Linked DNA regions of Caenorhabditis elegans. The protein of the gene in region 1 interacts with the protein of each later gene in a pairwise test. Each region holds a gene or a part of one and is shown on either strand. Other genes may lie near its edges.

Region 1 (7,238 bases):
TATCAGAATGATCTTCATGTATCTGGTCGCAACTGTATATCCTAGAACAAAAATTGTTGAAGAACTTACCCTGACTCTCCTTTTTGGCTCTTCATATTCTTTATCCTCTTCCTTCTTTGCTACCTCTTGGGAACTGGAATAGTGTTGCTCTTCTTCATCCTTGACTCCAGATTCCTCAATTTGGGTTTCAATTTTTCGAAATCTAACCGTCTCCGAAGAATCTTCAAGGCCAAGAAGCGCATATCCGTAGAGGGATACCTGTAAAATGTGAATTATCATTGTGAAAACTCAAATTCAAAATCAGATTTAGTTGCATTCGATTCGACACAAAATTGATGCTGAAGAACATATGATTTTTAAACCAAAATTTTATAATTTTCAAAAAAAAATTATTTATATTTAAAAAACTAGATAAGTAAATGGAGTTACAAACAATATGTGCCTATTGCCCTCCAGAAATGGTTGGTTGGCTATATTTACGGCCAGGTGTTATCGATTCATTATAGATTTGTTTTTGCCCACTTTTTAGTCAGACACTCTAGTTTGCATTCCTGACTAATTGTTTCATTTTACAAAAAAAAAAAACTCTAAAAAATTCTTATTTTACCACACCACTTAAGAAAAATATTTAAAACACTGAATTTTTCAATTTCCGACTCGGAAATTTTTTTAATCTGAATTTTTTTTTCATCCACTAAAACAGTGAAAAAAAAAACCATCACGGGATTTTTCCAAAAAAAAAAATTCCAAAAAACTTCCAGAATACTTGTCTACCTCGAAACAGCTTAAAAATCATAGTAATTTTTGAAAAATTATCATTTGCGGCAATTTAACGGGCCTCTAAAGTAGTGAAAAAAAGCAATTTCAGAGCGACTTTTATTCTGTTCAAAGTGCTCCTCTGCCGCTAAAAGTTTTGTGGGGGCCTAGAAAATAATGATGCGCTTTTATGAAATAAACTTTAATTACAGAATGTGAAGGAAATAAATGTAGAAAAAACAACTAACCAAATGATCGAGAGGGACCTGGGCTCCAGTATGTGAGTCCTGAACCCACTCCTCCACAAACTCCTTTTCCTTATTACCACTGTCCATCCTAGCACGTCATACTATGGCAAAATATGAAACTGAGCCTCACAAGGTCTCTGCCCATCGGCGATTTCCCCCTATTCAAAACCCATTTCTTCTCACTTTTCATGTTGTATTTGCCTCCCAAACAATTAGTTGTTGTAGCTGTCATTGAATGACCTGCGGGTGCCTGTGAGCACCGGTTTTCAGGCAGACAGGATTGTATTCTATTAGTGAGTAGACGAAAAGGAAGAAACAACGTCTGATTACGTAGGCAACGACCAAGCATCGATACATTATTCAAGGATCAGAAAATCAAGCTCAATTGTTTTGGAAATTTTTAAACATCACTTTTTGAAACTGTCTACCTCTTGGACTACACGTTGAGGTGCCAAAAATTAATTTCGGAAAAAAATCACAATAGCTAAAACCTAAATTTGGCTTTTTTTTCTCAGAAAGTTGATAAACATATTATGTGTGAAACTTCTTTCAAATATTATATTTGAATCAGGGATGGGCGGCAAACGATTTTTTCCGGCAAATTGCTAAATTGCCGGAATTGAAATTTTTGGCAAATCGGCAAACTAGCAAATTGCCGGAATTGAAAATTTTCAGCAAACCAGTCAACCGGCAATTTACCGATTTTCCGAATTTGTCGACAAAAAAACTTCCGAACGGCAATTGCCGCCCGCCCCTAATTTGAAAAGTTTTTGTATAATACGGTTCGACAGCCGTACACATTTTTTGTTGTGTAGCTCTCAAATACACGCTGTGATTTGAGAATCCATGCATCTGATCTTTTGCAGAGTCTTCCTATCGAAAAGAGCAAATTTCTCAGTACCCCTTGATCTTTTGTAGAACTGCTCATTCACAGCATCTAATCCCCCCACACGTCTTAACATAATTAGCATTCCTACATTAGCTACTACATGTGTTGATTATTTGTCTAACAAGATAGAGATAGTGTATACATACTTCCGCTCTCATAAAGACCGGTCATTTTCCGTGCTCATTCTCACTCTCGCAATGTTCTTCCCACACCCTTGATCCTAAGGAAACATGCTCCTCAAGAATAATCTCTTGAAAAGCGTGAGCGATTGTGGTAACAAAAAATCATGAGTATCAATGAAAACAATTCAACGGAATTTGGATTTGGGTGGGTGTGAAGGCGCTGTAAAAAAATGTAATATGAATTTAAGACCTCTATCTGCAAAAAGGTACAATGTAATTTTACAAAGTATTCAAGGTTTCCCTTGAAATAATTTTATAAAAACATTCGTACTAAATATCGAAAACTGCACCAAAACTATTTGCCGAGTGGATTTATCAGTTTCCCGCAATATTGGCAAGACTATCAGGTTATATGATATGATATTAGTATGAGTGCACCTCCACAAGAGTAAAGATGCAATGACTAAGATCAAAAAATTCCATTCCGCTTTGAGCACAAAAAAGATTCAGCGCTGGTAAACTAGTTCTCACCAAGTTTAGAACATCAAACAATTGACGCAATTTGTAGGTCATAGACTGGCAGGTTTTTGATGTTTTACATGACAAGTTTGAGAATAATGAAAGCAATCTTCATACATTTTAATAACTTTTTAAAGAGTTTTTAACTGATATCTTCCTAGAGCAACAAAAACAGCTTATATTTGCAAACATAACCATTTAAAGTTGAAAATGATACTTTTGCCATTGGGTTTTGAATTTGTCAAAATCTTGTTATTAATTTATTTTACTCATGTAGTTTCTAGAAAACATGTCATTCGTCCTGAAACCCCATGGAGCATACGTTATTGTCCTGTCAGAATGTTATTACGTAATATATTACTCATGACATTTACACCATATACAAAAATCTATTTATTTGCAAATATGTTCCATGATTATTTTCTGAGCAACAACAATTATATCATAGTCTAGACTTCACAGGGATAATTAATGTTGTTGGGAAGAAAAGTAAGAACTTTAGAAATGGTGATTGACCGAGTGAACTCTCAAATATCTATTTTTGTCTTTGTAATAACTCTATGAGTAATGAGGAATGAGGAACTGAATTTGTGACTGCAAATTAATCAGAAAGATTATTTAAAGAAGAAAGATATTTTGCTGTAGTTTGTGATGGCTGCTGAAAGACCACCGGAAGACTTTTGACATCGACCAAGTCCTGAAAGATCACGTCCCTCCAGTTCTTCAACTGTAACCCTTGTGAATACTAGAAAGTAAAAAACAAAAAAATAACAACATGTCAACATAACAACACGCCCTCCCCCTCTTGCTCTGCTCTTCCAAACACATGAGCACACACACACACAGGCACACGCAAAAAATTTGGAGACGCATCACTCGAAGAAACCGGAATTTGGGACAGAGGTGGTAGTAGAGGAGAGGGGGCGATGTTTAACTGATTGCAACGGGAAGATATATAAGCAAGAGCATGTATTGGGACAATCATCACTCACTCTGACAAGCTTGAAATGAACACCAAATTTTCAATTCTCTTTTCGCTTTTGGCGGTTTCAGCACTTGCGGTGGCTGCTGAGGAGAATGTGGTATGTATTATTTTTATGAATCTAATTATAAATATTTCATTTGTTCCCCTTTTCTAACTCTTATATTATAAATACTTATTTTTTAATTTTAAAACATTTCGTGCTCACTCACAAGCAATTGCATAACTTGAATATGAATTAAGTAAAATATAGGAACTTCTTAATATATGTTTCAAATAGTTTATCGTTTGACTTCATTATTTTACTACTGAAAATTTAGCAACAGGGGAGTATTTTGAGCTGCAAAAAAGTCGTTCTGAAAAGTTTTCAATGAATTTTTCACAACTTTCGAACTATCGAGGGCAGTAAAAATGTGCCAAGTGTGAATTTTTGCTGACTTTCAAGAGCTTCTAGCATGTTTAGGAGCTGGCTAACAATCGTAAATTTTTTTGGAATTTTTAATTTTTTGAAAAAATCTGAAATTTTTTCACTCAAGGGGTTTTTCTGATTTTCAATTTTACGGGCTTCTAAAGTAATAAAAAAAATACACTAATAGCAACTTCAGATCGAAATTTTTCTAGTTCTAAGTTCTCCTCTGCCGCTTAATTTTTTTTGCAAGGGCCTATTTAGAAGGTTTTTTGCAAATGAGATATTATCCAGAAGACTAAAAAATTAAGTTGAAAAATTAAGTCGTTCCTTTTTCAGTTCCTCCGCGCTCGTCGCCAATCTTCATGTGGATGCGCCATTCCAGCTGCTCCACAATGCAACTGCCAACCAGCTCAAACCAACACCGCCCAACAATCTTGCTCCTGCGCTCAAGCTCAACAGCCATCAAGCTGCGGATGCGCTCAACAGTATCAGCAACAACAGTGTGCACCAACTTGTCAGAGCTCCTGTGAACAGAGCTGTGTTGCCCAGCAACAGGTTAGTCAAACCAAATTCAACCCAGTTAGCCATTTCATATTATTTAAGCCAATCGCCCAGTGCCAATCATCTTGCTCTTCCACTTGCCAGTCCGCATGCGCTCAGCCAGTTCAGCTTCAGCAGCCAGCTCAGCAACAGTGCCAACAAGATTGTCAAGCTGCTTGCCCACAACAACAACAACCACAGCAACAGTGCCAGCAGCAATGCCAGACGACATGTCAATCCGATGATCAGTACTCTCAACAATTGATCCAACAGCAAACCTACGCTCAGCCAGGACAAATCCCAGCCTACACCGGAAGATCCGAGTACAATACTGCCCCACCACAACAGCAACAAGCCAGTCAATGCAATACCTGCCAAAACTCGTGCCTTAACACATGCCAGCAGCAACAGCAGCCAGTGCAACAGTGCCAATCATCATGTGATCAATCGTGCCAGCCACAATGTGCCACGCCATCTGGCTCCGCTTACAACCAAGTCAACTACCAGCCACAGGCCCAGAACAACTACCAAACCAACAACAACTACCAACAGCCAGGAGCCATTCCATCATACCAAGGAGCTTCCCAGACTGCTGCACCAACCTACCAGCCATACAGAGACACCAATGTTCAGGTAACATATTAATAGTATTACTTCTAAATCTAGATTTAAAGAAATCCAACCTAAATTTGTAGGTCGGAGGAACCATCTCCCAGTGCAACACTTGCCAAACCCAGTGCAACCAGGAATGCCAAGTCCAGCAGACCCCAGTGAACCAGTGCGCTCCACAATGCGACGCTCAATGCCAGCCAGCCTGCTCCCCAGCTGCTCCAGCAGCTCCAGTTCAAACGCAACAACAAATTCAGCTTACCATCAATGTTCCAGTTGCTCGTCAGTCCCCACAGTGTCAGCCACAATGTGAGCAAAGCTGCAACACCCAATGCATTCAGCAACAGCAACCAATCTCGCAGTGTCAGCCAGCTTGTCAGCAGAGTTGTTCGGCTTCCTGCAGAAAGTAAATTAACTTTAATTATTAATTTTTGGGAAAAAATAACTTTGTGATGGTTTTTTGTGTATATTTTGATAAATAAATTGTTTTCTACATATGTTCATCTCCTGCATCATACATCTTCACTAAATATTTTATCATTATTATTCCCTCTTGGGATGATAATTACAGAGAAATTTCTAGAATAGAAAAATTTATGAATCATTCAGTCATGTAAATTTTAGCTTTCAATCTCTATAATCTGCGGAACATCTATCTTCTTTTTTTTCTTTTCCACTCAATTTCTGAAACTGAAGTTTTACCACAAAAGCTAAACCCACCAATTACGTGTTATATTTGAAAAGCGGTAAGAAACTTAAAATAATGAACGGTCATCAAGGGTGTTACCTGCGTCAATAAGGGTTTTCGGTGTTTAATTCCAGTCTTTTGGGAATATTAGTTGTTATAGATTTTGACACAAAAAACCTCCACGCAATAATAATTAAACATTTCGTACATAAATCCTGCGTGTGAAACTTTTTGAAAAATTTTATTAGACAAAATGTTTTATTCATATCATATCTCAATTTAAATATCTCGAAAATCGTCGTTGGTTTCCACATCGAGGCCTCTGACACTGTTCATGGTCCTTGAACAGCATTTTTATATTGCATGTGAAATGAACAGCCGTCTGAGATTTTAGAAGTGATATTTTCCACACGATTCTTAAAGGTAGAGTAGCGTCAGTGGGGAGAGTGTTAAAAACTACTCATTTTATAGCAAAATGACCAAATACCATAATAAAACTTTTCAAAAATTTTTAAAGAATTTTTTGTTTACTGTCAAAAAGTGGCAATTACTCAGTTTTTTCATTTGCCACTCATAGTTTTGAAAGTCGACCAAAATTTGTTTCCTACATTCTTTATACTGTAATTTTGTCTTGGTTATTCGTCTTGAAACATTATAGAACGTCGGAAGATGCGACATTGCCTTAGATTTCCTCAAAATCTTTTTTTTTTTTGAATAGGGAAATTTGCCAAAACTTTGACCGGAAATTATGAAAATCTAAAATTTGTTGAGTGTTTTATTATGATATTCGGTGGTTTTGGGTTATTATAACTGTAGACAAAATTCCCACTGGTGCTATTCCACTTTTAACTTACCGTGTCCACATCCAATGCGAACGCGTGAACCTTAATTCCAGCTGATAAATCTCCTTGATATGATATATCGGGTAGAATGTTTGGGAACACCGAACACCCATTCTCGTCGATTATTTGAATCTTTAAATGATACTCTACTATTGAGTTGTTATCGACCTGCTCTTACCTTCCTTGTTCCTATTTCTTCCTCCCCGCTGTCTGAAATCGTGCAATTATTGACCATCACACAGAACAAGTAGTTTTTGTGATCGCCACTATAATTACAATTCCACGAGTGATAAATTTCATCTCCAATGTTCACTTTTGATGTCACAATTCGTCCAAGTTTGTCTGATCCATGATGTACACTGTACTTGCATTCTGGTTCAGGAAACCTACAACGATGGTTCAAAAAGAAATAAATTGAATGTTTTATGTTTTTCCTGATTTCAAAGACGATATCAATCCCTCCGCAATTGCCATACGGCAATTTTTTTGTCGACAATTTCGGCGAATTCGGCAAATGTTTTGCCGATTTGCAAGAAATTTAGAATTCCAACAATTTGCCGGTTTGCCAATGTGCCGGAAATTTTTATTCTTGACAAATTGCCGATTCGCCGTTTGCCGGACATCAGTTTTGCCG
Region 2 (7,902 bases), about 10 Mb from region 1:
GAGTGCATTTTGGAGCACAGTTAGAGTCGAAGTAAGCATCGTTGATGTTAAGAGTTATTTTGATCGTTGGTGCGTTGGTTGAGGTAGAAGATGTCGTGGGCACTGAAAAATAAATTTATTTTATGAATAAGACAAGTAAACTATAAATTTTAAAAATATTGGTAATTATAATTTTAGCTTTCGGCTTCATGTATTACCGTACTAACTCAGCGCTCTTTAAATAGGAATTAATGCTCACATATTGAAAGTAATACTAAATAATAATTTTTTTTTTTTTGTTTAAAAACCATATGGAATTTATCTCTTTCAGAATACATGCAGTTCAATTTAATTATTTAACTTGTAGTCAATTGGTTTAAAATATTTGAAAATACCATTTTCAAGCAACCAAGTTTTTTGAATTAACCTTTTCAAAAGCCGATCAAAATTTTTTTGACATAAAGTGAATAGATGTTATTCAAATTTCCATTCTCAATTTTTGTTTTTCAAAAACATACATTGTTCGTTGGTAGCGCATCCGAATTGGCAGGATTGTCTACAAGTTTGTTGGCACACTGCAGGTGGAGAGTTTTGTGAGACACATGCTCCTTGGCACACGTTCTGGCACACATTCTGACAGGAGTCGTCTACTGTTGGAGCAGCGGCAATTGGAACAAGTGGTTGAGGATTTGGTGGGGATACCTGAAACACAGAAATAGTTTATAATCAGTTTGAAATCGATACAGAGTATACCTGAATATGCGACATAGCCTGTTGAGCTGCTGACGCACAAGTCTTATCGCAAGTGCTCTCACAGGTTGTGGAACATGCAAATGTGTTTCCAGTGCTTTTGGAGCAAGATGGAATACATGCTCGAACACATGTAGCGGAGCAGTCAGAGTTCTGAAATAAACTGCTTAGCATATTTCTAAAACTCTGAAACTTACGATTTCTGCTCTCGGGCATTGTGGTTGGCAAATTGGCGCCTGTTGGCACGAGCATGCCGGCAAGGAGATTTGCGCGAAGAAGACTGGTTGTTGCTGGCAGTTACAGAAGTTTGAGCATCCACATTGACGCTTTAAACGGCGACTCTGGAAATGGACAGGATAATTACTGGAAACTAAATATGTCACGTAGACACATGTCTATTGGGAGGAAAGCGTATATAAAACAGTTTAGTCTATCAACTCTAATTTTAAAATGTGTTTTCCCATTTTCGAGTTATTAAAACGTTTTTTATTTTTCAAATCTACAAACAATACACAATTTTTCTTTGTTTTATCGGGCGCGGAAGGCATATTCCGAGTCTAGACGAGAGTGTCCACATACACAAAAACGATAGATTTATGTGTTGTTTCGTGAGAAAAACCACTCGAAATATGTTAGTTCTGCTCAACAACAACCCTTGTATTATGAATTCGGAGAGATTTTTAGAGAGCCAATATCGGGAAGGGAAATGAGATCAAAAGATCGATTAGTGGATTTTAAAAGTTTTGGACAATTTTTGCATCGTTTCTAATCCGAAAAGGCTGTAATTAAGATTTATGACGGGACACTTTAGGGTTACTGTAGTAGTACGGTATGAATGCTGTAGCAGTACTGTTGCAAAATTTATCTTGAATGCTACTGGTGCTACTGTAACATTGTGGCTGGGTACGGTAGGGGTACGGTAACAGTGTAAACAGTTGTACTACTGTGTAAAAAGACACATTTTCCCAACAAATGCCAATTTAAAGTATGTCAAGTCATAGAAATTCTAACTTAAAGTTGAGTTGGTTGATGATTAATTAACAAATAGAACATCAATTTATACTGTTACCGTGACCCTCCCTGTTGGGTATCAACGTGTATTGACCCACGACGTGGCTAAGAAGATCGTGCAACGTGAACTCTATGAACTAACTTATTTATTCCTTAGTTTAGTAATGTAATAAACTACTCGTCTTCTCTCCTCGTCTCGCCTTCGAATACACAACACTCCCGTACTGTAATCCGTACTGTAATGTAGAGTAATCCAAACGAACAATAGTTTTCAAATAGATAAAAATTTTAGGAACTTCTTGTACAGAGAAATCAAAAAGAGTTGAATTTTGCTTTTCAATTTTGAAGTAATTTCCAAAATGTGAGGTTACCATTTTATTTTTTATCTAGTTCCATTTGCTCAAAGGAGACCGTTAATTTTCCCTCCAACCAAATACGGAAATCGCTGATTTTATTATTACGTAGTGCAACAAAACTCTTGAAAAGGTGACAATTGATAAGTGGGCCCCCTTATCACCTTTCCTTATCCCACACACACACATACACACACACATTTCCTTGGCGATATCATTCTCGAATATCGGATATCCGATTTCCCGGTTGGTCATTCATCTATTGACTCTTTTAAGACGACGCCCCCGGTAATCAAACATTAGGACTTGGTGGGGCGAACTATTGCGTGTGTGTGGGTCTGAGGCGGTTTCGGCAATATACCTGGAGATTTTGTGGATTTTCAGATAAAAAAGTTTACGGGAGGTAAGATACATAATCAAGATTTGGCAGCATGAAAAAATGTTCAGTTCAAATTTTTTCAAAGTTTGGAAATTCTTTAGCCTTCCCGGTGAACTCGGGATTTTGGATCAACTTTCTGCAAACAATTAGGCAATTTCTAAAGATATGATCGAATAAGTTGCTGGAGGTAAGTTCCTGGAAAAGATTCTCATCAGGAAAATGTCAGAAAATTGCAAAAAGCTTGACAGAAAGTTACGCTATTTCGAGGAAGCTGCGGGGTTTTTACTGAATTTTAATTGAGAATGTACCAGAGCCAAGAGACTATGTGTGAACAATAAATATTTGGATCCAATAAAAATTGAAGCATAAGCTATAGTTAAAAAAAACTAATTTTTTATTGATGTCTAGTAATTTTAGTAATCCAAAAATGGAAGGATCTTCCGGTTTTCGAATTACGGTTTCTCGCAACAATATCGGTTTCAAAACAGATGTTTCCTGTTTCCGCTTTTTCCATTTTTGTGCATCCCTTTGTTAATTCACCATCCCATGAAGAAGAAGAAGAAGAAACATTCTAAATTTTCAAATGTTTTCTCCTTCTCACCCAATTTCCATTTCACCAGACATTTTGTGTGTATGACGGGGTCATGATGTTAAAGAATTGGGAGAAAAACCGAATCTTTTTCTCTCTCTGGCGAATGGGTGTTTACTTTCTGTTTTCATTGTGTTCACCTTTGCCTGACAATAGAAACAAACTCTCGCGCAACACAGAGACCTTGGAGCCAGTGGAAATGGACGAGACGCCGACTAAATTGAAATAGAAACCTTCGTTTGACTGTCTTGGAATGAGCAGGCTTTTTGGGAAGAAAACTCGATTTGGAATAAAAAGAAGAGGAATCGGGTCAAAGAATCGGGGCGGAGTTTTGTCAAAATTCTTTAGACTTTGGCCCATGTGAATCAAAATGTTTCGAAATAAAGTTGGGTTAATGCATGATTTAATGGTGAGTTTGTCTAGAGCAATATTTAGTAGCATTTTTACCAGACACTCAATGTAGGCATTAAACTCGACTTGAAAGTGACCTACTACATTCATACCATGCTTTTTGCAGTCGACTACAAAAATACTGTAGGCGCACAGGTAGGCATCAATGTCACAGAGCCGGTATACTAACATGACTCGTTTTTCCAAGATTGTCTCCTTGTAGTTTTGAAATAATGGATTATGGTAAAACTGAACCGTCAAAACCAAATTGGAACCATTCTCAAATTGAATTTTTTTACAAGTTTTTTATTTTTCCTACAATTAGAATAAAATTGCTCCCAAAAGGTCAAAACAATTTTAATTTATTTTTTGATTAATCTGTTAGAGAGAAAGTCTGCAATTGTTAGAATTCACTAGCTGCAAAATTAAAAAAAAATGTTGCGTCATCAAATTCTAGTTTCAAACCCATCAATTGTTCCCACAACATAAAATATTGTAGGGATAGACTAATTGAAGTTTTGTAATCTTCAAAAATGTACTTTCAATAGAATTATTTTTTCGAAAAAATAGAAATCCATAGAAAATGATTTTCAGAAATTGCAGAGAACTAATTTTTTCTAATACTGATAAAAACGGTATTTTCACAAAATTTAAAACTTGCAACAAAGACTCTTAAAGAAACACAATCTAGTTTACAAATTATGTTACAGACATTGAAGGCTTGTTACCTAATGTTCGATACAGTTAATACCAAAGTTCACACCCAAAATAAAGATTTACCAAACCAAAGTAAGCTAATAAGAGATGGTTCGTATAAAATAAGTTATAAAACTCTTTAATTTTGTGAGAAGACAAATATCTGACTAATTAACAGTGGTTGACCGCAAAAGTTTCAAAAGGATTTTAATTAGTCCAGTTTACCGAGCAGGTCAAGTTACGAGCAAACAATTCAAAAGCAAATAAAGTCAAAGTAACTACCAACAAAAAACCAAAAATAAACTCACCGCAGCAGTAGAAAGTGCCAAAAGAAGGCAGAATAAGAATAGTAGCCGAAGAGAATTCGAGCGTCCCATCGGGAAGATTTTATGATTGATTCCTAATTCTCAGATCCAGGAGGGATTGGATTACTGTATATGAATTTAAGTGATGAACAATATGAATAAGAGTACGGATACAAGATTATTAACAGACAGAAATGGTATATAATAAGTCTTCACACACACACACACAAATCCTTCAAAATCTATTTCTCACTCTGCTTCTCTCTTACTGCTTGAAGAGCTCTCCGGAGGGGGCGATAGGAGGGCGGTAAAAGCTTCGCGGAATGCGCGCTCAGAGGCGGAGCATTTCCGCGCGGCAAAAAGGACAGCCTGACGCGTTGGTGCTCCTGCTGGACGAGAGAGCCCCCATGGCTTCCCAAGGCAATTTTTGAATCCTGTTTGTTTGTATTTCGCCATGTACAAATTGTCAATGTATGTTCGTTGTTGGCCGCTTGAATCGACTGGAGAGCTACCCGAACTTTTTGCGGGGAAGGAAATCGGCACTAATTTGGAGAGTTCGGAAAGGACGGAAGGGGGTCATCCTCTTGTCTGTTCCACCGATGTTTGTTTTTTAGAATGGGGGCATGCTTGAGAAGAAAGGACATTGTGTGATTAAGCTGGTGATTAGGATGATTATTGATGAGCATACATTGATGATTGTAGTGGCAGGAAAAAGCAAAGGGGTGAACCAAATTGGGATTGTTTCGATGAAGATAGTGACGGAGGTTTCAATTTGATACAAATTTAAACGGAAATTATAAGTTTTTTCGTTGTCGTTGAACTAGAAATGCTGAGATATTGTGTTCTGTACTAATTTAGAACTTACAGAATATAAGTACTGATTTAAAAATACAGACTAGTAAAGTAGTTTAAATATTCCATTTTGGTTGGAATAGGAGGCCGTTTATAAATGTATCTTTTTGTTTATTTTGCCAGTTTTATTGATTTGCTAAGATTTGAAGGAGTACCGAAAATTGGGACAATGCCCTATTAGACTTGAAGGTATCAAATGGCCTGAAATTCGCAATGAGACGTCTTGAAATTTTCCAATAACTTTTTTATGGCGGTTCACATTATTGAGGGAACATGCATATTTTCAGCTATCATTCCAAGTTTCCCAACTGTCTAGACTCTTCACGGAAAAACGTGCAATTGATTTTGCATTCAATCACCATATTTCAAATGTCTCGGCAACTTTTTTATTCAACTGAAATAAATAAAGATGTTTGAACAAACGGAGTCCTGATAGTGAGCTCAATAGAATTTTAGCTCTAACATATTTGGACCAACTTAATTTCAAGTGATAAATGTAATAATTTTCTTGTATGGGAACTTTCGAAATGATACATGTCAATTTGTATTCTGATTGTATTTTCTTTACACAATTAATTATTGTATCAAAGTACAAAAATATATATTGGGATTTTGGATGTTTTAAATTGGGATGGCCGACTTGGCGTTCATAAAAATAATGGCTTGTTGAATTCAATACGTTTTATTCGCTACATACATTGACTAACTCGTCAAATTGCAAATTACCATAAAATCTTAAATTACTCCCAAAAACATTAGAATACTGATGGTACATAAATAAATACAAAATAATCGAATCAATAAATAAATAATTGATTATTCACTGACGATGAGCAAAATCTTCAGTTCGTTGATTTTTCGTTTCTTTCATGCGACGACGCATTTTCGATTGGCATACTGGGTAACAAGTCGTTTGGCAAGCTGCCATACAGTTCGGATTGTTAGGAAGACATTGGTGCTCACATTGGACCTGAAAAATTAAGGTTGGATCAGGTTTCACAGAACTTTTTTAGGAGGTAAAAAATTGGGATCTACTAAGTTAAATAGACAACACTTTCAGGGATTGTAAGCCAATACAGTAAAATCTGAAAATCGGTAAAATTTATTAGTGGAAATCAATTCTCAGATGACTTTATTCTTTTGACCCTTAATCTTCAGCTTCTCACTTTACACTTTTTCGTGGATTTTATGACCTGAGAAGAGGCTCATTGTTTTTTCTACACCTCGCAACTTCAACACCTCTTCAAAAACTATTGTTTTGTGTTTTTTTTGTGTTTCTTGTGTTTCAACAAATGTCTCGAAACACACAACAGTTAAAACGGAAACAATAGAATTATGAGGAGAGAAGTAGTGTGGAACAACGAGTACCTATTGGGAGGCAGGGGGATATTTTTCCTTGTATTTGCACAATGTTCTTCGGTTTTACACACTCTTGCTGGCTGAGTTGATTTGAAAGAGAGTTTCCGAAATAGCTAACCGAGAACCTGTGAACAAGCTCTCACTTAGCTCGGGGAGAGGATACAAGGATTTCAGAGAATCTCAAGTGGGTGGTCACTTGGCGGGCAGACAGCAGCTGAGCTTTAGAAATAAAAAAGATACAGGGAGTTTAAATTGTTTATGTCTACACTCTACAATAGCTCGTGCCTAAAATGTACCAATCAGCAGATATTTCTGCCGAATTCATCAAGAATATTACTACAGTAGCCTATAATAAATAGTTTTCTAGCACTTTAGGTACTTGCTAGTAGGTTGTCTAGGCAAGCAAAAACAACTACGCCTACTGGTGTCGCCTTTGAAGTGGGCTTTGCAATAGCTGGGTTAAACTTGGATTAAACTTTGGACCAGTCTTAATCCAAGTCTTGCCCAAAATCTGCCCAAATCCAGCCAACTTCTGATTCAAGTGAATATTATTTATGCCAAACTTAAGCAAAAAGTGGGAGCCAAATCCACAGTTTTTTTTTAAATCTTACAAGGCACTCGTTCCTACAAATAGTTCCAAGAGTAATGACAGTTGGAGCGGCAGTTGTGGTGGGTGCTGAAATTATTATTTTTATGATTTTATGCAATTCAAAGATCTGCTCAACCCACGATCTGAAACTACAATCGAAACTGGTGCAATTGGAATGAGCACGGCTTGAGTTGGTTTCTCAGTTGTTTGAGGAACGGCTTGTGACAAAGCGATTTGCATCTGTAAAATTACTTTTTGATACTTCTGAACCTAATAATTTTAATATCTAATTCCCACAAGTCTTCCCAACGTACCTGAACAGTAAACATGCATTGTTGAGTGCAAGCTGGCATGCAAACAGAAACACACTGACCACCGCTCGATGACGTCGATTGAATTTGAGTGGTTGTGGCAACGGCGACCTGCAAACTTTGCTCTTTTTTATAAGCCGTGAAACATTTTTTTTGTTTCGGTATTTTTTTTGTTGTTCACTTACGGGCTTCACAATAGTACAAGTGTCTTCACATGCTGGCGCGCAATTCGATTGGCATTCGTTTCCCGGAACTCCAGATGAACTGAAATATTAAGGGGGTAGATGAGAAATTGGAAGAAAAGGTATGTGATACGATATCTCCTGATAATATGGCTGT
Region 3 (8,870 bases), on another chromosome or scaffold:
TTTTCAGTCACTTCATTTCCACATCTTGGAGATCCATATCCAAAGTAAAACATCTGTTCTGCAGGCCACCATTTTTCTTCCTGAAATCTCACTGCAGCCATCTGCGCGAGGCAACCTCCCATTGAATAACCACTGAACTGTAACAGAGCACACAATTATTGTGATTTTGTTCTTTTTTTCGAACGACTTACCGAAATATAAAGATCACAATATTCAGTCCATAGCTGTTTCATATAAGCGCCGAGGCCACTATTCCATAGTCTTCCGAATGCAGTCAGCAAGTCGGTCTGCACTTGTCCATACGCTCCGAAATTCGTGAGGACCTGCTTATTCAAAGATGTCGACGTTGTGCTTTGAATTTTGCTCTCAGATTTGAAAGTGATTCCGAGAAGTGTATAACCATCATCTACGTCAATCTAGAAAAAAGACTTATATCGGCATTTATTTCTTATCTTATATGTAAATCAAAACTCACCACAACTCGGCACTTCCCGGCAAATATCAGATCCGAACAGTCTGCCTCAAATCTGAAGAAAAACGTTTTGAGAATGTCCACATAAGCTTTACACATACGTAGCCAAAATTTGCTGTCCGTAAAATTCCGTCTCCACACATTTTTCTGGGTTTGTCGCACCAATGCAGAGAGCCCATATCAGAAACTGAAAAAAGTAAGAATTCAATTTTTTTTTGATTGAAGACCAATAAATATGTATGAAAACTTTTTCATAACATTTTGACAGGTACATAGAAATTATGTATGAAAATTTTTAATATCACACATTATAGGATCCTTTTTTAAAGACAAAAATATAAGCCCAATGCGGGGCTCGAACCCGCGACAACCAGATTAAGAGTCTGGTGCTCTACCGACTGAGCTAACCGGGCGGCAATTCAACACCTGTCGTGACTTACTATTAAATAAATAAGAAAAGTCAAGTGATCTTGTCACTTGTCATCTCACGTGCGAAATAGGTAGAACAAGGCAAAATTTTGATCAGAGAACATGGGGAATGTACAGAGTTTCTCAAAATCTAAAAATAATACAGAACTTTGCTTGTATATAGACAAAAAGTTTGTCTGTCTTAATTAATATTATTCGGATTAAAATCTGGAGCGATAAACGTTCCACCGGTCTCGAAACAACTTTAATTTCAATTTCATATAAATATTTTTGAGCACTCCTCATTTTATTTACCCACCAGTAGAACATTACTTGAAGAAAGTTCTTTGAAAGTTAGCAAAGTATACAAAGAAGAGAAACATATATTTTTCTATTGAACATTTAAAATCAGCGCTTGTGTAACGTAAGGCTTGCGTCAAAATTTATTGAAGAGACCACCAATTGAATGTAAACAATTTCCAATTTGCCAGAAAGATAAACCAAGTTTTTTATCAATTTGAAAGTTTGGAAAGTATAATGAGAATCTCGTAGTTTGTTTTGTTTTCAATTGCAATAATTAATTTTAGGCCAATAAAAAAGTACCCGTCTTCCGGAATCCGAATCATAATTCACAAGACTGTTTGCTCCAACAATGCAAAACAAAAGAATGACCAATATGGTACGGCATCGAACAGGCATACCGAGGTGAGGTGCGATGCGGATTGAACACAATATTAATATCGATACCCAACATGTCGAAAAAGGATTTGGCCTCTTCGAATGTATGTGTGTAGATGAATATAAATTTCGATCAATTTTGTTGGGCAATCCGCATGTTGTCGTCAATCTTTGTAACTTTGATACTTGAAAACGTTTTTTCTGTTCAGGTTTGTTATAAAAATTGATGGGGACTGCAATCTTTTTTTTATAATGGCCATGTAAATTAACAAATGAATAAAATACCGAAAATATATTGTTTTGAACTGCATGAAAATGTTGCTTTTTTCAATTTTTTCAGTTGGAAAAATTCATCCAATTAGTTCCCCTATTCCACCCATTATATCTAGTTGAAACTTCTCTTGTCCTACCTATTTTACACGTGAAATCGCAGGTTTATCGCGTGATTTTTCTTTTTTATTTAAGTAGCGACAGGTGTTGAATCGCCGCCCGGTTAGCTCAGTCGCGAGTCGCGAGTCGCGGTAGAGCACCAGATTCTTAATCTGGTTGTCGCGGGTTCGAGCCCCGCATTGGGCTTAGCTTTTTGTAAAATGAACATCGTAAGAAACTAAACTGATATTTTAAAAATGCTTAATTAGTACGAAATAAATTATTCTGTTAAAGAAAAATACTGTTTTAAATTTTATTGAGCATTCGAAAAGTGATATTGCTGGGATGGCTCGAAAAACAATTATTCATGTTTAACTCGTTCGACTTGGTAATACCTTCTAAGTATATTAATTATGTCGTTGAACTTTTTACGATAATTTTTCAGTGTTGCCGAATTCTTGAATTCCCTTTGAACCCCTCTTTAACAGAATTACTCATTTTTCTGACCAACGTATAGTAATGTTATTTACGTGTCACATCTTACAAGTCATGCAACAATTATACAATGTTTATCGCTTATTCTAATAAACAACTGATTGAGATCCTAGCACGGAAGTAGTTTTGTATCCCAACAACCATCATTGTTTTCCAAAATACTCTCATGTGAGCAGGAACACGCAACTACTTATTACACTGATCCCCCTTGCGTATCAGGTATGTAATTGCCACCTTACCCACGTTACAATGAACTTTGATAAATTGTGCTCCTATAGACGTGCTCGCGGAGGAAGCTGCGACGTCACGCAAGAAGTGTGAGAAGAATCATGTACATTTGACTCTGTGTTGCTACTAAAAATTAAGTTAATCCCAAACTTTTGATCTGTGAGGGTTCAAAAAAGAGTTTGAGCTTTTGTATTAGCACTCAATGATCAGAATGCTGAAAAAAATGGTCGGCACTGAAAAACCACTAAACAATATTTTCAAGATCAGAGTGACAAAATAAAGCAATCATTCTCAAAACAACTAAAATTGATTTACTTTTAGTGAAAAAATTTCATAACTTTAGCTGTTGGAAATAGTTTGAAATTGACGAATTCTACAACTAAGTGGAGTTTTCTCAAATATTTTTTTTGTGAACAGCAGTTCTTGGTGTTCCATGGAGTTACACTTTGTTTTCACACAAAATGTTGACTTTGAAAAACTCTCAAATTCTTGAATCTGAAATATTTTTTGAATTAAAATTCCATCCACCTAAAAAAAAAAGAAAACCGGTTGCACTTAAAAAAGGGCAATAAATTTGTGCCAACCCAGAATTCAAATCGCATTCCCTCATCTTTGGCAGCATTCCAAGACGGTAAACGAAAAACGACGTGCAACACAGTAAGTGCGTTTTCAGATATCAATCTTTGTCCGCCATGCAATTCCAGCCAACATATCCAGTTTTGAAGGGCAATGATGCAAATTATTGGCTTCAGATGAAAGCCGTATGGAAAATTGTGTGGCCACTGGGTTGACGGGCACGCTTCGTCTTTTCACGCTTGTCTGACGTCGCCGCCGCCGCCGCCGACGGAGATTGATTGTATCGCTCCAATCGAGTAGCGTAAGCTCGAAATGGGGATGGAAGAACATTGCATATTCATTGACAGTTTCGACAGACCTCGCATTTCTTTTTTTTTTGTACCTATGCTTTTGATTCATTGTTTTTTAACTAACTTTAATTTTATTTAACTTGTGAAAAACTAAAACAATATTGAATATTGCGCATTCAATTTAAAACCATATGTATTCATCATTTCTTTCACATCACCACAAAACAGTTCAGCGTCACATAATTCCAGGTAATCTTTTAATCCGTCACTCTACACCACATTGACCACAATGATGCCTGCCACAGAGACCAGCGATTACCATGCCACGTATGATGCGGCTATGCAAAACGCTGAAAACCGTGTTTTTCATCTTTTGCACTCTTTGGAATGGCAACTTCATTCCGAAAAGGTTAGAGGCCGAAAAAGTACTGCGGGGAAAAAGTTTTGAAAACGAACCAACGTATTGGTTCATCAATAGATAACACTGTAAAATGAAAGTTATCCTTAAAAGTTTTGATAGTCAAGTAAATAATCATTGATATTCGCCAACCAAATGTAATGGGAAACTCTCATTTTAGAGGATTCTGGTGTTTTCTTACTTATTGAAAACAAGAAACTGATGTTGAAATTGGATGCGGCGCAATTATGGAAACACAAATGGCAAAAGCGTAACGGTCGCGGCAAAACTGATAGGCACTTTTACCTTGATAATTTTCATTTTTCAGATTGTTTCGAATACATTAACAGTTTAAACTTAGAGTTTATCATTCTCTGCGCTTTCACATTTTTCCCAAAAAAGTTACAGTAGGTGTAGGATACCTAGTGATAAAGCTCGTGAAGTCGGAGAAATAAAGTTAGTTGCAAATAATGCGATTTTGTAAATCTTTTTTGAATGAACGATATTCGAGATATACAAGAATTTCTAACAACATGTCGTGTTACCATAATTGTGCCGCATCCTGTAGAACCCAAAAGAAATAATGATAAAACCGAAGATAAACTTGATCCTTCAATTTTGGTATGCTTTATTCAAATTCGAGCATTTACAAAATGCAGATACTAGAAGTAAAAGTTTTTTCTGTTAATCTGCGCTTTTGAAGCAACTGTTTCTGTTATATGTCATTGAAATTTTTTTAATGTTGAAGACAGTAATAATGTAATTGACTGTAATTGTTCGATAGCTCTACATTAATTTTAAATCAAAAGTTTATTTCCTAATGTAGAAAGGACAACTTTTAGATCATAGTTGATACATCTAGCGCTCTAAAAGTTTGTTTTCTATGTTCAATTTTGAGAAATTGTGTATTGTTACATGCAATATGTCAGCCCCACAGTTACCAATTCCTAATATACCTAGGTATGTACCTAATAATTCAAATTCAAACTTCACAATCCCACGATACTGACACACTGTTACATCGTTATAGGGATCACGAGAAAACATGTATTTTTGAGTATGAGAATAAATGTGCGATTTCGTTTATCACCCTCATTACGTCAGAGTACAAACTCCCACCAGTGGCCAACATGATATTGTTGTTTCAGAAAACCGGAAGCATTTGGAGCATGAGATGCAATGTTATGGATAATTACATTTTCCGCTACGAAGGGCGCATTCCGAACAGAACTTGTGCTGAGGTAATGTAATCAGGGCTTGTTAATGGAAAAACTGGAAAAGAATAAAAATGGTGATCCTTGACCGATAAATGAAGGGAGAATGAGTCAAAGTATGGGAATGAAACCTAGTGTAGATACAAAAAATTTTTAAGTCCACATCAATTTAGTATAGGTTTTGGTAATTCATGAATTATTGAAATATTAGGGTATATTTTTGTCAATTCCAAAATTTATGAAAAACATTTCCTTGTTGAATTTTGATTTATATTTGATCAGTTCAACATCCTAGTAGAAAAAATTTGAAACAATTACTCCATTTTACATTTTATGCTTTACATAATATATGCTTATATGCAGTGTTCTATTTTATTTTCTGAAATAACAAATTACTCCATGATTTTCGTTTTCCTATCGTGAAACAAGCTCTGAATGATTTCTTGAACTCTTATTCTCTATGTAATCTATTTACTGATACTTTTTTAGAACTAGCTATTTGAACCCTCAGTGATCATAAAATTGCAATGTTCATCGAAAGACTGACACATCAACTGTCTTATTTTAAAGATTTTCACCACGCAAACATGAGCGACAGATCAGATAACACGATTTTGGAACGTGTTTACTTTGGTAGCGTTTGACTCTGCTTTGTAAATCGTTGTGTGCGGAAACAGAAAAATAATTAGAGACTAGATTTTTCTAAGCCCGAGCTGAACAGCTTGGGAGATAAACAAATGAGACAACATTTCAAAGAAGTGGTGAAATTTTGTACCATGTCAGAAACTCAGAAACTCTTAAAACTAAAATTACATATCAAAGTTTAGGTTTCTGCAATGATACATCCGCAAGGGCTTCACCGCAACAAATGGGACTCCCAATCAGCAGGAACAAGCCTTGTCGAAGAGATCAGCTATGTCAGTTTAACTTCTATACTTCTCCAAAAATCAAATTTCAGGATACATCAGTGATTCTTCACAAAACAAAGGGTAGAATGATGGGCTTGATATCTCCACGTGAAACACTTGATTTGTGTCGTTTCGCATATGATCCTGTTGATGGTTATAAAAAGATTAAGACCTGAATTTTACATAATTTTTTTAGGCAGCCGTTCGGTAGTTATGGTTAGTGTAGATCATGAGAAATCGCCAAGAATTGCTGGTGTGGTTCGAGCCCAAACTTATCCCACACTTCTCATGCTTAATCCCCTGTAAGTTTTTTGAGGCGCAAAATGCCGGCCTCACGCCGACGCTGTGTTTGCAATAAAATGCGAAAGTTAGTTATTTGAAGCGGCCGGCACGTTCGGTGTTCCGCAACTTGGCGTAAAATAAGTCTCTTGGTGTGTGTGTGCAAAGTAGTACGAAGAGATGGTTGTTTGAAAGCAGCCGACACGTTCCTGGTTCCGCGCCGCACTATCATCCCCACAAACTCTGCTCCCATTTACTAACAAAAACTTCAATATTGTGTTCCCAACTAAAACTTTTCAAAATTTCCAGAGGCGACGGTGTCAAGATCACATCGATTGTGCAAGCAGATTTGTACCTACAAGGTGTTCCACAAACCATCGTTGATACATTAATGCCAAAGGTATACTGATTATGTACATGAATTAATGCTTTTGCTGACAAATCATCAGCTAGTATCAGAGCTCAGTTTTTGTTTTCAGATTACAAACTAGAAAAATTTTATCAACATTTGTTTTTCTTGAGTCGTTTAGTGGAAAAGATTAAAAGCATAAAGTATACGCACAAATTGACTCTAGTTTGCGAAAATTTCATATCATTTACATCATATCATAACTAATTAAATTTCAGGGAATTGCGTCATTTTTTGAAGACCTTCAAAAATATGCCAGCAAAGATTGCACGAAAGTTTCATTGAATCATCAGCTGACAGGATGGTGTGCTGCCCATTTGGAAAACTAGAACTTACCTGAATGATAACTTTAAATGTTTTTACCATTTATGTTTTGATATTTATATACACTTGTCTAAATTAGGATACCGAATAAAAATTTGATTTATTTTATAGGGTTGGGAAACGTTTTACAATTTCTAGGATGCGGAAAAAAGTTAGAGACCAATAGAATCATTGAGAAATATAAAACATTATTATGCTGTTTAAATTCTCAATACAATATTGTTTTTTAAGCTATTTTTGTTTTTTATTCTATTGAAAATAGCAAGACAAGTAGATTTTGTATGCACATTTTTATTGAAAACCTCAGCTGACTGGTGACACAAAAACCAAATCAGAAATTTTTCACACAAGCTTGCAAGTTTTCCATACTTTTGAAAATTGATACTATTGCCTAGGGCTCCTATGAGGTTGCCGCAACGGCGTCGGCTGCGCGACGTCTCTCACGCCACATGTATAGTGCGGCGCGGAACGCCGAACGTGTCGGCCGATTCCAAATAACTACTTTTCGCACTAAGTTGCGCACACACCAAACTACTCGTTTAACGCCAAGCTGCGGATCCACGAAAGTGTCGGCCGCTACAACTACCTACTTTTCGCACTTCATTGCACACACACAGCGGCGTCGGCGTGAGGCCCGCTTGAGGCCTGCACTTCGCGCCTCGCTCAGCTGGAAGCCCTACTATAGCCTGAAATAGACAAACTACAGCAGCGAAAAATGGTTTTTTTTTCTGAAAAAAATCTGAAAAATCGATTTTCCAAAGCATCAAAAACAAGGTTCACCTTTTTATTTATTCATAAAAAATACATGCTCATAAATACTATAGTTTGGTTCAGGAGCTAACAAAATAAATTATAATCAACAAAAATAGGGCACTACATAAATAGGGAAATCTAACAACGGTGAATTGGATTGTAGTTAAAATTGGAATTTAGGTAGTTGTTAACAGTAGCTTACTCGTAGAAAAGATCTTAATGGAGAGAAAGTCTGATGTGTGGGGTATACCACGAGGTGGCAAGCGTAGTGAAGCAACTAGAGAAAAAGGGGGCGGGTATAGAGCAATCGAGGACAAAGAGAGAGAGGAAAGAAGTTACTGGGAGTTATTCATTTTTTCGATAATACGGTCATTATTTCTGTCTAAGTAGTCGAGAAAATCTTCAACCTCGGCTGGAACAAATTTGAGATCCTTGTTATGTTTTAAATCGTTGATGTAGTTGCGAATCGGTTTTTCAAAATCCTGAAAATTAAACAATTTTAAAATGTTCACAAACAAAAAACTGTCTACCTTTAACTCTTCCAACTCCAAGGAAAGAATTTTTGGCGCATTTTTCGGGAAGTTTTCCAATACAAATTGTACTAATGGTTTCTCTCTTATCTCGACAATGTTGCAACGTGCTAGGCATTCTTCTGAAGCGCAACAAAACTGCTCCTGAAAAAAAAAACGAATGAAAATTTTACTGATATTACTTTTTTTTAATTTGCAGCAAACCTGGAACAAGTCGATCACTTGCATTTTTGGCACTTTTCCAGCTTTGTACAACTGAACGCTGGGTGCTGTTAGGACAGCATCCCTGTTCCAGACCCAGTCTCGTGGTTGGATGGACGCATATTCTGGAAAGGATAAATTTTAGTAATAACTATAAGATTATCATCTCAACTACCTTTGTATGGGCAAGTCATGGACTTTGTGCAAATTCTATTGACTAAAAATATTATTTGGTCGTCTGATATTATGACCGCACAGTTCATCGAGGAAGAGCAGGCAGAAAGGAGAAGTAGGATTGCTACCAATTTACTCATTATTGCTGCAAAAGTACAAGTATTT
Region 4 (7,200 bases), on another chromosome or scaffold:
AATAATTTTGACATTTTTAACTTTTCAGATGTGAACGATAGTAAGAATTTGATGTCAAAATATTTATAAACTTGATAAGCTGTGTCCGAAAAATGAGCACAGCAGACAATTCATGAAGCAGAATTGGCTAATTTTAAATTTTGAAAAACTTATAAATAGCTTTTTCAAGTTTCGAAAAAATTTACAATCAAATTTAAGCAGTTTTTAATAATTGTGCCATGTTTGGGCGGCAATGGAATTTTTGGCGATTGAAGAATTGCTGGATTGTCGAAAATTCTAATTGCCGTCCATATCTGCTCTAGACTCTTTTTGTATTCGGTTTTTTAAAATAATAATTAATTACTTACTTTATCCTTGTATTGTGGATTTTCATCAAGAATATCTCCTTCATAGTCATGAAGGGGAGTTGTTCTTCCAGATTGACTCATCCTTCGACCACCACCTCCGGGTATCTGATTTGCCATCGACTCGTAAAATTCTGAATATGACATATTCTCTGTTTTTCTCCTTCGACCACTTGGAATCGACACTTTAATCTTTTTCTCTGCATCTGTTGGAATTGTATCATTAGAACCATCAACACTTCCAGCAAAGAATGCGATTCCATCTAAAACACACGCAGATGTTGGAGTTGTAGGCCTTTTTCGAATTTTCTGATCATACGCGTGCCGAAGTTCTTCAGCTGTTTCAGCGAAGTTCAAACTTTTTGGAGGTGTCACAACTGGTTCTGCAGATGCTGCAAATACTTGTTCAACTTCTGCATCTTCTTCTTCGTCCCTTATCAAACTTTTGTGAAGTTCTTGTTCTTGTTCAGAGTGCCCGGGACCAGGTACTGCCATTTTATATTTCTGGGTCTCTCCAAGTTGAGGATCCACCTTTCCAGGCTTAACTTCAATGATTGTGTCATTTGTATCAGATGTTTTCATACTGACTCCTTCAATCATATCGATGTCAAGTGAAGCTGGTAATTCTGGTGGACCTTCATCTTCAATTGATTGAGTAAATGAACGCATTGCTCTCATTGAAGCTGCTCGTTCTGAAGATGACTGTTTCGATTCATCAGTTAATCGGAAAGCATTTCGGCCACCGTGTGGATCAAAATCACGGTCTCTCCAAGACATCTAATCTTAAAAATATAGGGACATTGTGATTAATGAATAAATAGACAAGAAATGAAAGAATTGGAGCCTGTCTAGGTTATTTAAAATTTGGGAAAAATCAGGAACGGTATGGGACCATGTCTTATGTTAAAAAAAAATTTTCAAGTTTTCTCGATAAGTTAGGGATTTCAAAAAATTGATAGAATTAAATTACTGAAGGCATTTTTGTATTCCCTTAAGTGATCTAATGGTACCTGTGGGTTTTTTGACAAAACATGCACAAAACATTCATTAACTAGAGAGTCATAAAACAAGATTCGTCAGACACTGTTCGGCTTAATAAGTGCAAAACAAATTTTAGCAACAAGATTGGAAGTATGGTATATTTGTATAGATATTGAAATAAAAGAAAGATTTATCTACTTTTTTAGTTGAGATAAGAGAAAAATTGGTTGTTTCTGTATATACATATATTATTATTTTTCTTGCACTATGCACCTCATTAAAAATTGATTAGGCATTGAATCTATTGGCTCAATTTTAGTTTTGTTTCAAAACAGACTATGAAAGGTTATTTTTTCACTTAGATTTTGGCAATATACTACGTCATTTAGTCAAAAAAGGTTTTGCAAAAGACAAGAAGAAACGGAAGAAACGAAAAATTTGTGTGTCAACAAGTGGAAACTTGATATTTTGGATATTTGGACCGGTAGTTTGGGTTTCAGCCGAAACACGAAATACTGAATCTAAGAATATATTGATTTTCAGATTATCCATTCCATTCGTTTCTTCCATCTTCAAAAAGGTGCCTAACCCATGAAATCTACCCATCAATCTGCCCTGTCTCTCCTTTTCCGCTATTACTCCTAGGCTTTCTATGCATATAAAATACGAAGAGTCATGCCTAAAAAAGAATGGAAGGGTTTGGAAAGAAAATATGGAAAATAAAATGAAAGTGGAGACGATTTTGAATGTCAAGACTCTTCTTCTACTTTTTCTTTTGAGTGCTTATGTATGAGATAAGTGATTTTTTAATATTTCACGAGTCTATTCTCTAATTGTAAGCCCCCAATTGCATGACTATTTATTAAAATGGTGCAAATAATATTGTTTTCTAAATCCATAAAAGTAGAATCCATTCTTCGAAAACTACACCGATTGGTAGTACTAGCACATTCAATTATAGATACGACGGGAGGAAAAGCGAGAGGCCTGAAAGGGAAGGAGAAATTGCGAATTAACTGAATTTTTCCTTTTTTTCTCAATCTGATTTTGACGGGAAAGAATATTCACAAATTGAACAAAATAAAGATCAGAATTTGCAGACTTGAAAAATCTTTTGAAAAAATTATCTATAACTTTTTCGTGTAATAGAGAAGTACGGTAAGCGTGAGACCCTTGGTTGACTTTAGCAGTTGTATCCCACTTGATCAAAAATATCAGTAGTAAATTTACAAAAGCTATAATGGAAAATCATCGAATACGCATTTTTCAGTAGGTAAGGATTCGTTAAAATGAAATACGATCTAATATATAATATCAATGTTCTGTTTCGAAATTTGAATTAGCTGTTGGCATTTTAAAAGAATCAAATGTATTGATATCTGTTGATGTAGCATGTTATTGGAACCTAGGTCGGTAATTTTTTGAAACAGTGACCTAAGTTACACTTTTCAAGAACAATGCTTTCTTAACTTCATTTCGCCATACAAATGTTCACTTTGCGTAAATAGTCAAACTCAAGCGGTATGTCCTCTAACAGAATGTAACTTTTTTGGTCTAAAAAGTGTGTCATATAATCAAAAGCTGATATGTTCTAATCTTCTACTTAATCTTTAGCCTGAAAGATATAAGCATGTGTAACGTAAGTCAATGTTGCAGTTTTTGAAGGAATATTCAAAAAACAGGTGGAATTTAGAAGCTCTTTTAGCATATGAAAAGTTATTGGTTCGAGTACTTTTGCACCAGGGGTGTGCGGCAAATCTCAAAATTTGCCGAGCTCGGCAAATTCGGCAAATCTACTTTTTTGAAATTTGCCGTGCTCGGCAAATTCGGCAAATTTGCCGAGCTCGGCAAACGGCAAATTCGGCAAATTCGGCAAATTTGCCGCACACCCCTGTTTTGCACCCTTACTAATAATTAATGATGGGAAAACTGAAAAACTCCATACTTCCATATTCTGAATGTGTCTATAAAAATTGCTAATAAGTCTATAACAAAAAAGAGAACGAGACATAAACACAGAAAGTTTGCAAAAATGAGCATACGAGTCTACTTCTTGTGCTCGGGGGGCTCCAAGCAAAAGCTCTCCCAGAAGACGTTTGTCTTCTCCTTTCGTCCTCGTTTTCTTTCCCCCTTCTTCTTCGTTTTCTCAAAGAGGAGGCGAATAGAGCGAGGAATAAGCGAAACGACGACTGCTGAGGACTATGTGCTCTGTCAGAATCGATAGAGAAACGGGAGAAAAAGAAGGGAAATGCCGCGGCGTCAGGGACGTGGAGAAGACGTATTACGAATTGCCGGGGTCCCTCTTTGTCGATTCTGTGCACTATGCACTCCTTCCGCTTTGGTGAACATTACGAACAATTCTTGAAACCGTTTTTTTTCTTTTTAGGAACAGTATAAAAATAGGAATCGAACAACAAATTGGGCAAAATGGGGGATCTATCGGAACGAAATAACAAGATCCTCAACATGTGGGGAAACAACTGAGGAAAGATCGAGAGGAATGAGATAAGTTGTAGAAGAAGAAAAATAATTTTAAAAAACAAGAAATGAATTGGCGAAAAATCAAAATTGGAAAACCGAGTCGTTGTGCGGATATGAATGGATATCACTTCTTATTTTTAGGTTGTCGCATCTCTTCTTCGGCCTTTTTCAACGACTCCCCACGATCCATGAACAATTTGGTACAACGGTCCACGTCCTCTACCTGAATAGCGATTTATTTAATACATGAACTACAACATTCTGCAACTTACTTCAATGACCTCTCTTCCACACGTTTGAGCACAAAGACGAGCTGGAGCAATCAATTGTAACGCATATCTCAATGATTTTTCAGCTCCAACTTTACTTAGAAGATCAAATGCTTTTTCTTCGAATTGAACATTTTCAGCTTCGGTACGATGAACGAGAATCTTCCGGATGTCTTCTTCGTTATACTTCATCGTTGGAATAATCATCAGCCGATCGAGCATTTCTGGAGGAATTCCATGTGGTGCCTTATCGCCGAGTCCACGAACTGTTGTGGTTCCACGGTTAGTTGCAAAAACCACGACGGGTGCCATTGGGGACTCGAGCGCGCGATAGAGATAGGTAAAACATTCTACGTCAAGCATATGAACCTCGTCGATGAAAAGAACACCAGGCATTAGTTCAGCCACTCCACTTTCAATGTATTCGTTGACTACTTTGTTGATTTCAGAACGAAGACGATCTAAAAGACAGAATAAAAATTGAAAGGTTCGAGTTTTAATGTTTATCAATCACTCACCAGTAACTTCAGTTTTCTTTGGAGTCATCAGCTGTGAAACAATGTTACTAACATCTCCTTGACGTCCTTGTGGACGGGCATTTGCGATATCCAGATCATGCAAAGACACGTTTTGAACAATATCTTTAGACTTTCTAACATCTCCTTTCGGCATTGGCACAAACTCGTCAGCCTCGAGGTCAAACTCAGATGCATATACATCACACCGTCCAACTCGTTTAACGATTCCTGAGTTCGCTTCAATATAGATGACATCACCAACTTCTACTCGTTGCTTCAAAATCGAGTCATAGATGCTTGGATCCAATTTCAGTTGCTTGCTTCCTTTTGCTGTTTTCAAAGAAAGGACAAGATGAGAGATGGTTTTTCCCATTCCGGAATTATCTGAAGCTTCGACGGGGCTCAACTCTGTAACTTCTCCCTCGTACACATCTTTGGTTTCCTTAACACGCAGACCAATAGCTCTTCTGAAACTTCTCATGAGCACTTCCGTTTTCTTTACTTCATTGGAAAAGACCTCGCTTGCAACAAGTGGCACAAATGGAACGCCGTCACCCAACTCCTGTGACATTGCAAGCGCGATTGCAGTTTTTCCAGTGGCGGGTGGTCCAGCAATCAATACAGCTCGTCCGGCCATACACTTCAATCGAATCATATCAACTACAATTGATGCAGCTGTTCTGGCGGGTGCTTGGCCAACGAATCCAGCAGCCTGTAGAAATAATATTTTATTTAGCATAGGCTTTATTTCATAAGTAGTTATTGAAATTGGACAATTGAAAAAGAAACCTCATAGTGAGCTTCTTGTGTTTCTGTGTCAATTCCGAGTCCCTTGACGTGACTGTGAGCCGCAATGCGTTTAATTTGCTTTGGAGTTGGTTTTACCTGAAAAATTCGATTTAAAATACTAGGTTTTTCAAAAATTAGCTCACTTCTTCGATTGGTGCAAGTCTTGAAGAAGAAGTACCAGATATTGCCTCATCGACTTCCATATCCATTATTTTACGAAAGCGTCAGCGTGAAAATAGAATGAAAAATAGAAATTTAGGGAAAGAAAATAAAATTCGAAAATGTGTGCAGCCATCTCATTTTACGCACAAATGCAGACAAACAGCAATGGAAGGAGACCCGAAGAACTCGGGGGATGTCCAACTGGGGGGATTACCAACTCGGGGGATTGGCCCCGCCCACAGAACCGTGGCTTGCATTACGCCCATTTCTGCAACTGCCGCACGGTTTTAAAACTGTATTTTTCTCAATAGAGCGAGAATTAACAAGAAAAAATAATTTTAAAACCGTGCGGCAGTTGCAGAAATGGGCGTATTGCAAGCCACGGTTCTGTGGGCGGGGCCAATCCCCCGAGTTGGTAATCCCCCCAGTTGGACATCCCCCGAGTTCTTCGGGTCTCAATGGAAGGGAAAGAGGAAAAAGAGATAATATTCTTATTTGAAGTAAATGTCAAATATAAGCCGAGAGTAACTTTTCTAAATAAAATGAATTTGCGAAAGTTGTATAATCACCAATAGAGATCCCAAGAAATTAAAAATGGCATTCCATTCGGGAACCTGTTAATGTAAAATAGCAATGTACCTTTAAAGTACGGTAGCACAACTTTGAGACAATTATCTGGAATTTGTCCCAAATCCTGCTCCCTCGACAATCCTTCGAAATCGAATATTCTGTCTCAGTTATTTTTGGAACAATGGCTGCGCTTTTTGAAGAGAATGATTCTTATTCGGTGAGTTTCTGGATTAACAAGAATAAAGTATAATTCAAGAATTTTAGGATTCCGAAAATGAAGAAGATTTTAGCGGCTTTTTGAGTGAAATCGAAGAAAATGAAAACGAGGATGAATTTGAAAACGACGATGAGTTTGAAGACGATGATGAGCTTGAAAATGTGGATGAACTTGAAGATGACGAATTATCCTCTGAAGAAGTGGACATCCCTTCCGAAAATGAAGTAATTGTCGAGCTTCACGATGGTCAAGGTGAGCAGTTTTATAGTTTTTTGCTCTTTTTCTGTAACAAAATATTTTCCAGCCGAAGTGGAGGAATCACTTCTTGATGCTCTTCTTGGAAAAGCATTGGCAGGAGATCAGATGAATTCTCGAATTGAAGGACTCTTCGAAGACTTGGACTCTTCAGTTGAACCTGATATCATCGATCGCAGCGAGTTAGAGGATGTGGACAGTGGTATTAGTGTTGGAGCTGTTAGTTCTTCCTCTGCAGAAACTCAAGCTTCTGATGCGAAATGCAAAAATAAGGATGCTTTCGACATGTCTTCACTTAAGAAGTATATGCAGTACATCACCGAAGAAGAGCATGCCGTATCAGTAGAAGATATTCCAGATTTTGCTTCCAAAAAGTAGGTCTTGAAGCTTTTCTGAATATTTTCTATTTCAACTCTTCATCCTTCCAGAAATGTGTATGGAACCAGCTTCAACGTTCGCAACGGAATCATGTCTCGTCCACCTCGTTTCGAATTTGCTCGTCACGATCAACGCTGGATCGATTCATGTGTATCCATGGCATACGAGAAAGACAAGACATTGAAAGAATTGATCACACTGGGAAAGTTGACAACAACTGTCAAGGCTGGAGCCAA

Evidence for each region.
Region 2: the proteins of abu-11 (region 1) and appg-1 interact in a two-hybrid assay, tested with the Caenorhabditis elegans proteins (one large-scale study listed by BioGRID).
Region 3: the proteins of abu-11 (region 1) and K02D3.2 interact in a two-hybrid assay, tested with the Caenorhabditis elegans proteins (one large-scale study listed by BioGRID).
Region 4: the proteins of abu-11 (region 1) and ruvb-1 interact in a two-hybrid assay, tested with the Caenorhabditis elegans proteins (one large-scale study listed by BioGRID).

The regions. Positions count from the first base shown.
Region 1 is NC_003280.10:190,838-198,075, reverse strand, and holds abu-11 (Activated in Blocked Unfolded protein response), read left to right. Parts: upstream 1-3,517; 5' UTR 3,518-3,541; coding exon 3,542-3,616; intron 3,617-4,261; coding exon 4,262-4,480; intron 4,481-4,528; coding exon 4,529-5,098; intron 5,099-5,160; coding exon 5,161-5,484; 3' UTR 5,485-5,567; downstream 5,568-7,238. Other genes in the region: chs-2 (chitin synthase), read right to left, coding at 70-258, 1,005-1,091; T01D1.8 (ZP domain-containing protein), read right to left, coding at 6,037-6,144, 6,617-6,736, 6,783-6,990.
Region 2 is NC_003280.10:10,322,916-10,330,817, reverse strand, and holds the start of appg-1 (Activated in Blocked Unfolded protein response), read right to left. Parts: upstream 4,525-7,902; coding exon 4,456-4,524; intron 1,175-4,455; exon of another isoform or gene 1,090-1,174; intron 1,071-1,089; coding exon 927-1,070; intron 883-926; coding exon 733-882; intron 682-732; coding exon 498-681; intron 103-497; coding exon 1-102. Other genes in the region: idpp-4 (Intrinsically Disordered Protein, expressed in Pharynx), read right to left, coding at 6,125-6,274, 7,275-7,339, 7,393-7,492, 7,567-7,674, 7,749-7,827.
Region 3 is NC_003284.9:13,706,903-13,715,772, reverse strand, and holds K02D3.2 (START domain-containing protein), read left to right. Parts: upstream 1-3,765; 5' UTR 3,766-3,808; coding exon 3,809-3,925; intron 3,926-5,061; coding exon 5,062-5,154; intron 5,155-5,954; coding exon 5,955-6,044; intron 6,045-6,085; coding exon 6,086-6,188; intron 6,189-6,231; coding exon 6,232-6,337; intron 6,338-6,623; coding exon 6,624-6,714; intron 6,715-6,941; coding exon 6,942-7,052; 3' UTR 7,053-7,154; downstream 7,155-8,870. Other genes in the region: K11E4.1 (Fungal lipase-type domain-containing protein), read right to left, coding at 12-137, 192-416, 476-527, 574-659, 1,484-1,579; K02D3.1 (uncharacterized protein), read right to left, coding at 8,136-8,282, 8,331-8,474, 8,535-8,656, 8,707-8,845.
Region 4 is NC_003283.11:9,975,106-9,982,305, forward strand, and holds ruvb-1 (RuvB-like 1), read right to left. Parts: upstream 5,698-7,200; 5' UTR 5,592-5,697; coding exon 5,526-5,591; intron 5,479-5,525; coding exon 5,383-5,478; intron 5,306-5,382; coding exon 4,594-5,305; intron 4,537-4,593; coding exon 4,079-4,536; intron 4,030-4,078; coding exon 3,931-4,029; 3' UTR 3,686-3,930; downstream 1-3,685. Other genes in the region: unc-41 (Putative stoned B-like protein), read right to left, coding at 348-1,121; tofu-1 (Schlafen-like protein 1), read left to right, coding at 6,296-6,331, 6,379-6,583, 6,636-6,960, 7,015-7,200. UniProt on the Caenorhabditis elegans protein: Possesses single-stranded DNA-stimulated ATPase and ATP dependent DNA helicase (3' to 5') activity suggesting a role in nuclear processes such as recombination and transcription.